Linked DNA regions of Lonchura striata. The protein of the gene in region 2 purifies or fractionates together with the protein of the main gene of each other region. This does not show direct contact. Links are inferred from orthologs where the notes say so. Each region holds a gene or a part of one and is shown on either strand. Other genes may lie near its edges. The genes, in order: RBM25, RNPS1 and AMPD2.

Evidence for each region.
Region 1: the proteins of RNPS1 (region 2) and RBM25 purify together in Homo sapiens (affinity purification with mass spectrometry; 3 studies listed by BioGRID and IntAct, with this or other methods). This does not show direct contact. The link is inferred for Lonchura striata from reciprocal best matches to the Homo sapiens genes RNPS1 and RBM25.
Region 3: the proteins of RNPS1 (region 2) and AMPD2 purify together in Homo sapiens (co-immunoprecipitation; 3 studies listed by BioGRID and IntAct, with this or other methods). This does not show direct contact. The link is inferred for Lonchura striata from reciprocal best matches to the Homo sapiens genes RNPS1 and AMPD2.

Annotation. Positions count from the first base shown.
Region 1 is NC_134608.1:35,556,014-35,559,757, reverse strand, and holds the start of RBM25 (RNA-binding protein 25), read right to left. Parts: upstream 2,451-3,744; 5' UTR 2,336-2,450; intron 1-2,335. UniProt on the Homo sapiens protein: RNA-binding protein that acts as a regulator of alternative pre-mRNA splicing. Involved in apoptotic cell death through the regulation of the apoptotic factor BCL2L1 isoform expression.
Region 2 is NC_134618.1:1,871,626-1,875,369, reverse strand, and holds the start of RNPS1 (RNA-binding protein with serine-rich domain 1), read left to right. Parts: upstream 1-1,092; 5' UTR 1,093-1,139; coding exon 1,140-1,141; intron 1,142-3,744. UniProt on the Homo sapiens protein: Part of pre- and post-splicing multiprotein mRNP complexes. Auxiliary component of the splicing-dependent multiprotein exon junction complex (EJC) deposited at splice junction on mRNAs.
Region 3 is NC_134632.1:1,136,192-1,139,935, reverse strand, and holds the start of AMPD2 (AMP deaminase 2), read right to left. Parts: upstream 2,467-3,744; 5' UTR 2,438-2,466; coding exon 2,368-2,437; intron 908-2,367; coding exon 777-907; intron 1-776. UniProt on the Homo sapiens protein: AMP deaminase plays a critical role in energy metabolism. Catalyzes the deamination of AMP to IMP and plays an important role in the purine nucleotide cycle.

The DNA.
Region 1 (3,744 bases), on a different chromosome or scaffold from region 2:
CTGCTGGGATGGAGCTCTGTCCACTAGGAGCATTCTGGCTGATTTACAACTAAGCAAACGCAGAGAGCTCACCTTAGGGCTGGAAGAAAGTGTCTGAGTCCACACAGAACTCAAAACTACTATGAAACAAGGATCACCATCACCCAGACACTGCTGCCTTGTTCTTCTTTATCATCTCTGACTCCTAGAAGTCCCAATAAGAGGGGACTGAGATTGTACTGGTCTGGCTGCACTGTTAACACAGTAATTTCTTTTTAAATCATAGTATTTTTTAACCTTCTGTTTTACTGACTCCATTTTTTTTAAACAGAGGTGAAGAGATATGTCATAAGCAGAATGCAAACTCAATAAAAATTGCTGGCAGTGAAGGTATTTTAAATTGATAATCCCATCATCTACTTAAGGCAGCATCATAATTCTACCACTGTTACAGAATTAATATCAGTATCTCTGTTTATACATCAGAAACTTTATGTGTTAAAAGTTTTATTAATTTAGAAACTTGCAAAACATCTTAACCAATTTCAAAGTTCCCATGAAGCAACCAGTTACCATACTTACTACTGTTACACCAAAGTTAAAACTGACTGCAAAACCCCTCAAGTCTTAATGCACAAAACTCACGTGTTTTAGGAATGCATACATGAGGTGACATAGCAACAGTGAGAGTATGGCTGACATAGTTTGATTTAATTTTATCTGATTTTAACTTCCTTTCAGTATTTCCCCAAAACACTTCTGCACCACAAAAAGTCTGTGCCTTTAGTCTAGAATAACTTGCACAAAATGGCTGTGCAGGCTGAAGAAAAGATACACAACAAACTTTTCTGTTAAAGTCTGTACTCTCACAGGCTTGTGCCTTGGTCTCTACACAATGGGTGGATATTTAAGCCATTCCATTATAAAAGCAACCTCCTAGTTTGTCACCCAACAAAGAAGCTGTTTATATTATTACTTGTTGTCAAAAAGGCTCCCTAAAAGAAAAATCTTCTATTCCAAGCCAACTGGTTTCCTCAGTGAAAATGACCATTTTCTCAGACCCCTACAGTTTTCTCCAAAATGGCCTGCAAGCAAAGCAAGATTTAAATGTTAAACACCGCACGCATGGGGAGAGATAAAATATATTATAGGTATCCTAAGCTAAAAACAAAAATACTAGTACTTGCTCTAGCTTGTTTTTCAGAAGTCATCTAGAAAGAGTTTAGTAACTGCTGTGGAATAGTTGCATCCCACCCTGTTATTATGAAGCAACACAAAAAGCAACATGTTTACCCCAACCAAAGCCTCCGTCCCAAAGCCCTTTAAGCAGGGCTCCATTAAGTATGTCATGAGAACTTAAAAGATATTTGATTTAATTCCTAATTCTATGCCTCTGCACCTATATAAAACCCTGGTTAGTGAAGTAAGTGACTTTCCATTCTAACTTGGCTATTGACTCTTCCCAAAACAGAAACTCCTTCTCAGGGGAAGTAAGAAACTCTGCTATTCTTCCTTATAATTTGCTCTGGACTCACCCCATAAATGCTGATGCAATACCTGAACCAATGCTTTCCTGCCACACACAAAAAAAGGACCAATACTCAGTGAGTGTATTTTAGGCTCAATGGGCTAAGAAATAGAAAACTTTTGAGAGCTCACTTTCTCTAAGGCCGTTTAAGACCTAAAAAAAGAAACAACAAAACCGTTAGTTGTGTTCAGGATATTCCCTGTGTTGAAACAAAAAACCCCTCCTCCAAGCAGACAAAGGTCTTTTTCTTCAACGGAAAAAGACATTATGAGAAAAACATGCCGTGTGCACATCACAACGGCTCCCGACACGGATGAATCACTCCCGATTATTTTACGCACGACCTGCCAACACGTGTTTTAAGAAGACCACGCCAATCCACGCTAAAGACAATAACTTCCTTGTCGCAATATATCACGTTTCCTAGCGTGATCGGTTTCCCCGACGTGCAAAAGCAAAAATCCCACCCACAGTCTAAGGCGGCCGGGCGCCAGCAAAGCTCCGCGCAGCTCCGGGTCCCGGCCGTGCCACGGGCTCCCCTCGCCTCCCGCGGGGCCGCTCCCGTCCCTCTCGCCGGGGCGGCGGAATGGGCCCCTCCGCGTCCCAGCGGGAGACGACGCGAGCGGGTCTCGCGAGCACCGCCCCGAGGCCGCTCGTCCGTTCCACGCCCCGTCCAGGCCCGAGCCGCCTCCCCAGCGAGCGCCCGCCGCGGCCCAGCGGCCTCGGCCGGTCCCGGCCGTGCCTCCGCCCAGCGGGCGGCCGAGGCGCCGCCGCCGCCTGCCCTCCCTCCTTGCCTCCCTCTTGCCCGCGCAGCCCCCCGGGTCTCACCCTCGGAGCGGAGCGGGGCGGGGATGGCGCGGGGGAGGCGCTGGGCCGGCTGAGGCCCCGCTAGGCCGCGAACGCACCGCGCCGAGCCGCTGCCGCCGCGCCGCGCGGGGTCATGTGACCCGCCTCTTCCGCCAGCGGCCCGGCGTGCACCGCGCCGCGCCACCACAGAGCCGGCCGCGCCAGAGCGCCCCCAGGCGGCGCCGCGGCCGGCCGTGGAGCGGCGGCGGAAGGCGGGCAGCCAAGGGGCATGCGCGCCGCCGCCATCTTTAGCGGGGGCGGCGCGGGGCCGTGACCCGGCCGGAGCGCCGCCATGTCGGGGCCAGGGTGGCCCGAGGGCCTGGAAGCCTCCGGCGGCGGGGCCACGGAGCTTGGCCGTCTGTCAGCCGTCATGGCCCCCTCAGACAGACACCCAGCCCAGGGACGGGCTGTACCGCAGGCAGGGAATCCCCTCCCTCGACCTGCCCTCATTGTTTGGGATGCAGCCCAGGATACAGCTGGCTTTCGTGGAAGGTTCTGTGTGCTGTAAAAGACTTAAGGATTTACACAGCAAAAAGAGTGAGCACTACCTTTTTAGGCAGCCGCATGCTCGTCAGAAAGATGTCACTGTGCTGTTGGGCCTAGCCATGGTCTACAACTGGTAGTTTCTCTGACCTACTTTCAGCATTTGGACTACATTAAGAGCCAATTTTCAACATGACATGCAAGACAGTAATTGCTGTAGTTATACCGCTGTTGGAAATAAGTTGCAAGTGGAAAGAGGAAGTGACTATGAATGAGAAGAACATGATCTTACAGATTATTATGAGGTAGACCACAAAATGACCATGTGCATAAAACTGTTTAAAAAATGTTGGATTAGGTAAGGGAAAAAAATGTGTTGTATTTTCCATTGTTTAAAGAAAAGTGTTCAAAAGACAAGAGTCCAATGACAAAATCTCCACCTGTAGGCTGACTTCTTCAGTACAAAGCAGATTAAAACTATCTGGTTGATGTCATATGTGCTACTGAACAGCCAACAACTGTGTTGGAACTAAGGTCCCATTCATCACCTTGCTTTACGTGATGTGTAAGGGTAGATATTCTAGCAATAGCAGATTTAAGAAATATTTCAAGTTTGACTGCAATTTCTTGCCCACCAGAAACAGCAGTTTTGCCTTCTATTAATTACAGCTTATTCCAAACAGCTGGCATATCTCCCTCAAAATAATACAAATTTAGTAACTACAATACTGACTACTGTTAATAGTTAAAAAATTTTATAAGCATACTAGGAAAACCAAGGAAAAGAAAAAGGCATAACAAAAATTTTCAGAATCTTCTCTGTGTTGTCTCAGACAACAACAGCTCAGCTTAAAAAGAAATGTGAATCCCAAACTATTTTGTACTGCTGTAATAAGTTTTTATTTACA
Region 2 (3,744 bases):
GGAATGGCATTGGAATTAGACTCAATGATCTTAGAGGACTTTTCCAACCTAAATGATTCCATGATTCTAAGCTCATCATGACAGTCTACTAATAGTGCCCATTTGACATAATGCAGTTTCTCATCGAACCAATGTGAACTTTTAGTAGACTACAAAATTGCCTGTGAGAGAAATCTGCCCTTAAACAAGATGTTGTGGACAGAAGAACAACTTCCTTTTTGCTTTCTTGGGGTTTTGTTTGTTTTCTTGTTTACTGAACCTGTTCCATGCCAGGTTTTATGTAATACCCCTTGATTTTGCAGCAGAACGGAGAATAAGTCTGTTTTTCTTGTTGCCACACACGAATTTAAAGATACCTGCCCTGGTCTTGCTCATGTCCTGTGATGGAGGTAGACAGGACATATCCTTCCACTGCATTCAAGAGGTGAAGCTTCCATCATTAGGAATTTAACAAACATGCCTCTGGCCATACACATAAGCAGATCGACACACCTCTTAGAAAGATCTGTCACTTTTAAGGCCCTGTATTAGGGATGGGATCAAAATACACTTCTGGCTTTGTTCCTCTCAAGTCAAAAGTCAGGCAGCCAATGTGGTGACGTCAGAGGTTCAGTGTCTGCAGTGGCAAATTCCCTTTTAAGTTCACAGCAAACACATTTGGCAGGGATATCCGTCCCACATGACATGAAATGCCACTGTATGGTGCTCCATCTTAAGTCTTTCATTCTCCTCTTCCCAATTTTCTTGCAGTTGAGAGGGCAAATCCCCGCACAGTAGTGCCATCCCTACACCCGCCACCACCTCAAATCAGAGTCTGTGCGCTGTGTGAGCCTGAGGCAGCGTGGGCCAGAATTCACGTGTGGGGGCTGCAGCCTACTGGGTTGTTAAGCTTTTAAAACCCAGAGCTGAAGCCCAAGCTGCTACTGTCATTACCACGGCTATGCAGGACAGGGTTTGCAAGAACCTTTACGTCAGCGGCGGGGGCAGCAGCAGCCGCCCCGCCACCCCGCTCCTGCTCGCTTGAAGCCCGTCCGCCCGCCCCGCCCCCGCTGTGACGCCATCACCGCGCGCGGCGCCGCTCCTTCCCGCCCGTCGCGTCAATCTCGCGCGACGAGCGCGGAGCGGCGGCGGGGCCGAGGATGTGAGTGCGGGGCGGGGGCTGCACCATCCGCGTCCATCCGGCCGGGCCGTGGCCCGACCGGCCCCTCCGCCGCGCGGGGCACCGGGGGGAGTGCGCTGGGGCTGCCGAGAGGCGATGGTGGCGCGAGGGTCGGGGATGGGGTCTCGGAGCCGTGGCCAGAGGCGGGGAGGGCAGGGGAGGGAGAGCCGGGGCGGGGCCGGCCGTGGAACCGGGCCCGAGTGTCGGCGGTGCCGCGGCCTGGCCTACGGGGAGGAGCGTTGTGCAGGCCCGAGGGACGGGTTGCTGTGCTGATCTCGCGGGCCCTGCCCCACGGGCGCCATACCGCACCCACGGCGGGCGGATCTGGCTGCCCCGCGCTTCGCCGGCCGCACAGCTGGGCCGAACGGCCGTAGTGGACAGAGAAGTGCCGGGCGCCGAACCCTCTTCACACCTGGAATTCTGCCGGTTTGCAGCTGAAGACCTGGAGCAAACTGTCAGTAAAGAACTCGCCTATAGCCTTAAGGGAAGCCTGAGGGCAGCGACTTTACTTCTTTTGCAGAGAACTGCTGCTCTGAGTGTGCAGATTCTGTCTCTAAAGCAGAAGTATGTGTGAGATGGGTTTGTGTAGATTGCAATTTAGACTTTCTGTTGTAGGGTGGATGCCCCTAAACCAGCTATTTTTTAGACAGTGAGAGGTTTTTGATTATAAAGATGAAGCATATAGTTTAGAGATGCAATGTTATTTAGCCTCGTGTGAGGACTGTGATTTATTCTTTCCTCATTTTCCAGTGAATGTCTGAACTTGTGCAGGTGAAAATGCCCTTGTGTAGGGTGAGGTTTCCAACTAAAGTGAGTATGGTCAGGGGCATTCCTGAGAAAGGATTAAAACCACTGGTTAGTTTGGAGACTGCTTTAATGTAGCATCATTTGGTGAATATTCCAAAGCTATGTGGCTGATCTGCCTGCTAAGTGCCTGTTCTAAGGAGCAGTAAGCAGGGAATCCTGAAAGGAGATTGTAGCCAGGTTGGGGTCAGGCTCTTCTCCCAGGCAATGGGCAACAGAACAAGAGGACACAGTCTTAAGATGCACTGGGAGGTTTTGATCAGACATTAGGAAGACTGTCTTCACAGAAAGGGCAGTTGGGCCCCTGGAAGGGGATGCCCAGGGAGGTTGTGGAGTCACCATCCCTGGAGGTGCTTATGGAAAGACTGGATGCAGCACTGAGTGCTCTGGTCTAGTTGACATGGTGGTGTTGGGTCAGAGATTGGACTTAATGGTCTCAGGTCTGTTCCAATGTAATTGATTCTGTGATTCTATTTCCTGCCTCAGCAGCAGGCTGGGTAACAGCAAACATGCTGGTCTTTATCTGTGTTTCCGTTTCCCTTCTCCCAGAAGGGGTAAACCAGATCTGACTCTTGAACACTAGCAGATAGTTTTGTATGCTGATAACATTATGACTTTGATAGTCCACAGGTGCAGGAGGAACTGATGTGTAGGCAGAGATAAACCAAACTTGGCTATGGGGTATTTAGAAGAAGAAAAATGGGCTATGGGTAACCTACTTGCAGCCTTCAGTACCTGAAATGAACCTATAAGAAAGATGGAGTGAGACATTTTACAAGGGCCAGGAGAAGGGGGAATGGCTTCTCACTGACGGAGGGCAGGTTTATGTTAGAGATTAGAAGAAAATTCTTCCCTGTGAGGGTGGTGAGGTCCTGACCCAGGATGCTCAGAGCAGCCCCATCCCTTGAAGTGTTCAAGGCCAGGTTGGAGCAACTTGGTGTAGCAAAGACCATAGTTGGGGGGTTGAAAAGTGATGAGTTTTAAGGTTTATGCCTTCCCAAACCAGTCAGCGATTCTGTGATTTTATGAAAGGAAAAATCTTAGGTTCCTGGTTTCACAAGACCAGAAAACCTGTCTGTTTTGTACCACCCAGCTGGGCTCATGCAGTGGCTTTACAATCTGTATGCCCCTCAGAGCTTGCACTGGAGAGGCACGGAGCTGGATAGAAATATCCTAAAGCTGAGTGATATACACAGGTTTGCTTGTCTTGGATCCCTTTGCGATGCTTGTGGGACAGTCCATAACTGCTTTCTTCCTGCCGCTGGTGCTAGAGGAGGCATTTCCTTTCCCAGCAGCTTCTGCCAGTGGCACATCTGTGGTGTGGGTTTCTTGTCCTCCATGTAGAAAGGCCATGGGTGTTTCTTGGTTTCTGCAGGGAGCTGGGTTTGTGAATAGTCATTTGTGTTGTTTCTTGCAGTTGGTGTATTAGGGAAAACTGTGAAGCTGAAAATCAGGAAAGCAAGTTTGGCTGTTCAGAAGTAATCTCTTCCCAACCATGCATTTAATTGCAATTCAGAGAATAAAGTAATTGCTGATCAGAAGCACAGAAGGAAAAAGATTGTTTGATGCTGTGAGCTGGTGAAGTTTTTTTCTTGTTCACTGAGTTTGCCTGTGATGTACATGGGGATGGAGATGTTTCCAATATCCCACATTACAGTGCATATTTGGTGCTGCTGCAGATAAGGCTGGCAGCTCCAACAAGCTTCTACTCATTCCCGGGATGTTTAATTCTTTGGTAGTTGGGAGTGTCACATTCCTTTAAAGGTTATTAAAATGTTAGA
Region 3 (3,744 bases), on a different chromosome or scaffold from region 2:
CAGAGCAGCCCAGAGCATCCCTGCAGTGAGCTGAGCCCAGAGCAGCCCAGAGCAGCCCAGAGCAGCCCAGAGCAGCCCTGCTATGAGCTGAGCCCAGAGCAGCCCAGAGCAGCCGTGCAGTGAGCTGAGCCCAGAGCAGCCCTGCCGTGAGCTGAGCCCAGAGCAGCCCAGAGCAGCCCAGAGCAGCCCTGCTATGAGCTGAGCCCAGAGCAGCCCAGAGCAGCCCAGAGCATCCCTGCAGTGAGCTGAGCCCAGAGCAGCCCAGAGCAGCCCAGAGCAGCCGTGCAGTGAGCTGAGCCCAGAGCAGCCCAGAGCAGCCCTGCAGTGAGCTGAGCCCAGAGCAGCCCAGAGCAGCCCAGAGCAGCCCTGCAGTGAGCTGAGCCCAGAGCAGCCCAGAGCAGCCCAGAGCAGCCCTGCAGTGAGCTGAGCCCAGAGCAGCCCAGAGCAGCCCAGAGCAGCCCAGAGCAGCCCTGCAGTGAGCTGAGCCCAGCCGTGAGCTGAGCCCAGAGCAGCCCTGCCATGACCTGGGTGCAGCATCAGCCCTGCCACGGGCTCAGCCCAGAGCAGCTTGGCCATGAGCCGGGTGCAGCCTCAACCCCTGGGCTGGCAGAGAAAGGCTCACACTCAGAGGATTTCCACACTCAGAGCTGAAGAAGTAGGAAGGGAGGAAGGTTTGGGGAGGATAGGAGTGGGAAGGATGGAAGGGAGAACCCCCCCCACTCCCCCAATATACATCCACCCCACCAGACCTGGCAAACTTGGTGCTCCAGACCCACCTCAGCGATCTCCTTGTATTTGCCATCCATGGAAGTGCGCAGATCCACTGGGAAATGCTTCAGGGAATGGGGGGTCCCAGGCAGGGACCAGGCTGACTGCAGGGGTCGGGCCCCTGGCCCCCCCCGCAGCTCTGCAGGGAGTGGGACAACATCAGCTGGGGGGGTCTGGAACCCCACCTGGGCTGGAAGGGGTTAATCAGCCCCTCCACAGCTCCCCCTCCCCACCATGGAACTGGGATGCTCTTCCCAATGGGGATGATGGGGAAACTGAGGCAGCTCAAGGGCAAGAGGGACCCCCCCTCTCTAATCCCCCTGGGAGGGCTGCTGGCTCCATTGGGGGCTGCAAGAAGCCAACAGTGAGTGAGGGGCTCAGGGCCGGGCTGCAGGACCCCCATGGCATGGGGGGCACAACTCTGGGGTCCACTCCCTCCGCCAGTGCTGCCTCCCTGCCCCCATCCCATCCTTTCCATCACAGGGGAGGGGAGGTGACATCGTCCCCCCTCCAAACACCTCCCATTGCCCCTCGCCCCCCTGCTCCCATCAGCACGGGGCCATCGGGCTGGGGGGTGCCCAGTGCCCCCCCAATGCCAACACCCTCCTCTGCGACCCCAAACCCACCACACACCTGCCTGGGGGGGCACCGAAATCAGGTCCTACTGGTTAAACTGGGTCCACCAGTAAGAGCCCCTCCACCCAGCACAGCCTGGGCAGAAGATCCAGGTCTCCTGAGCCCCGAATTTGAGCCTCCACCCCACTGGAAAGTGTGGGGGGGCTGGGGTGGTGTCACCCAAGGCAGGGATGGCACTGGTGTCAGCAGGATGTGCTGCTGGTGCCTCACCTGGGGCATGGTGTCACCCAGGGTAGGATACATCCTATGCTGCCCACATGTGACAGGTGGCAGCCCTGGTGGCACTCCGAGACTGTCCCCAACACGGGTGCCAGACAGATGACAACCCCAAAGTGCCACCTCGCCCGCCTCGTGCCACCATCCAGGCACCCTGTGCCACCCACCCAGGACAAATGTGGGTCACCAGAGCCAGGGGCAGCGCCGGTGACATCCCTAGACCGGCCAGAAATACCAGCCAGGTGACAACCCCGAAGTGCCACCTCACCCCGGTGATATCACTGCCACAAGCACCCTGTGTCACCAGCACCGTTTGCCATCCACCTGGAACACGTGTGCCACCCACGTGTGGGTGACACGCCGAGACCCTCTCTCAGCAGCGCCAGCCGGGCGCCAACCACAACGCGCCACCTTGCCCACGCAGTGCCACCGCCACGCGGGATCGCCCCCCTGCCCCTCCAAACCGGGCCCGCCCCCCACACCCCCCAGCGCTCCCCTCCTTCCTCCCCCTCCTCTTCCTCCGCTCTCACTGCGCCACCGGGGCGCTGGCGGGAGGGGACACGCAGGGTCCCCGCTGCCACCCTCCCGGTGCCGGGATACGGTGCTGGCTCCCACCCCGCCACAAACCCTCCGAGCATCCCCCGCAGCCCACACCGATCCCCCCGGCTCGCCGCACCGCGCCCCCCGCGCTGGGCGTGACCTGCGTGTCCCCGTGGGCTGCGGGCTGTTTTTGGGGGGAGGTCTCACCTGCGGGGCTGGGGGTCTGCAGGCTACCCCGCTTCTTGAAGGGACACTTGGCCGGGGGGGCAGAGGACATGGCGGCTCCAGGGGGGCCGGGGAGGAGCGGAGGGGCTGATGCTGGCGGTGATGATGGTGATGGTGGTGATGATGGTGATGGGGGCGGGGGGTGACGAGGGGCGCCCGGGGGACTCTTACGGCGGCGGGGCCGCAGCGGCCGCTCCCTCCCCTGGTTGATGATTGATGCAGGAACCCGGGAATGGACCAAAGTCCCCGGCGGGGCCCGGCCGGAAACCGGGACGAGGAAGAGGATGGGGCGGGCGGAGGATGTGGCGAGGAGGAGGAGGAGGAGGAAGGAGGTGGCTGCGGCGCTGGAGGGTGGAGGGGGGGGGCAAGACCCGGGATGGGGCTGTGAACTACGGGGGAGCGGGGCCGTGACAGCCCCGGGCCAGCCGTGGCCCCCCTCTCGGACAGCCCTGAAGCCCCCCGGACAAACGTGACACCCCCGGAGCAGCGCTCTGTACCCGTGTGGGGTCAGCCGGGACCCCCCCGGGTAACCCCCGGCCCGGAGAGCCGGGACAGCCGCCGCAGGCAGCTCTGTACCTCGGTGGGACCCCCGGGACGGCCCCAAGCCCCTCCCGGGGACAGCCCAACGTCCCCCCAAAGCGGGCATCGCACCCCCGCGAGAGATGGGGTTGGACCCCCCAAAGTGGCAGCGATGCTTCCAAAATAGGGTAACCAATCCCCCTGCCCACCCCCGAACAGGCACTGCTCCCCAAAATGACAGGGTGTCGTTCTTCCCCATCCAGAGACTGGCTCTATCCCAGTGGGAATCTCTGTGTCCCCCAAGGGGCACGGTCACCCCCGGGATGGGCATCCCCCTCCCCAGGGCTGAGGCTGCACCCCCAACACAGACCGTCACCCCCCGTTAAACATTGTACCCCCAAAGGCACCGGGTACCTCCGAAATCATCCAATACCCCCCAAAAATGGGGTATTTCCCCCCCAGGTATGGTACCGCACCCCAAAAGAAGGACTCGCGCTCCTGCAGCACTCCCCGGCTCACACCCTGCTGGGGGCTGCCCTGAGTCCCCATGGGAATGTCCCCAAGGAGCCCCTGCCCCCCAGCCCCCCAACTCACCCCCCAGCCAAACTGAGGGCCACCCAGGGGCAGACCCGGCTGCGGGGCTGTCACCTCTGCCACCGCCTCGGTCCCCGCGTGTCCCTACCTGGGCCGGGGCTCCCGGTGCCGGGTGCCTCTGGGTGGCTGTCGGGCTGTGTCCCCTCCGAGCGCCCCGAGTGTCCCCTAAGCTGCCACCGGCGCAGGGGGGTATTTTTAGCCGCTGTTAGAGCGGAGGGAATGTCACCCACCCCCCTCTGTGCCCCC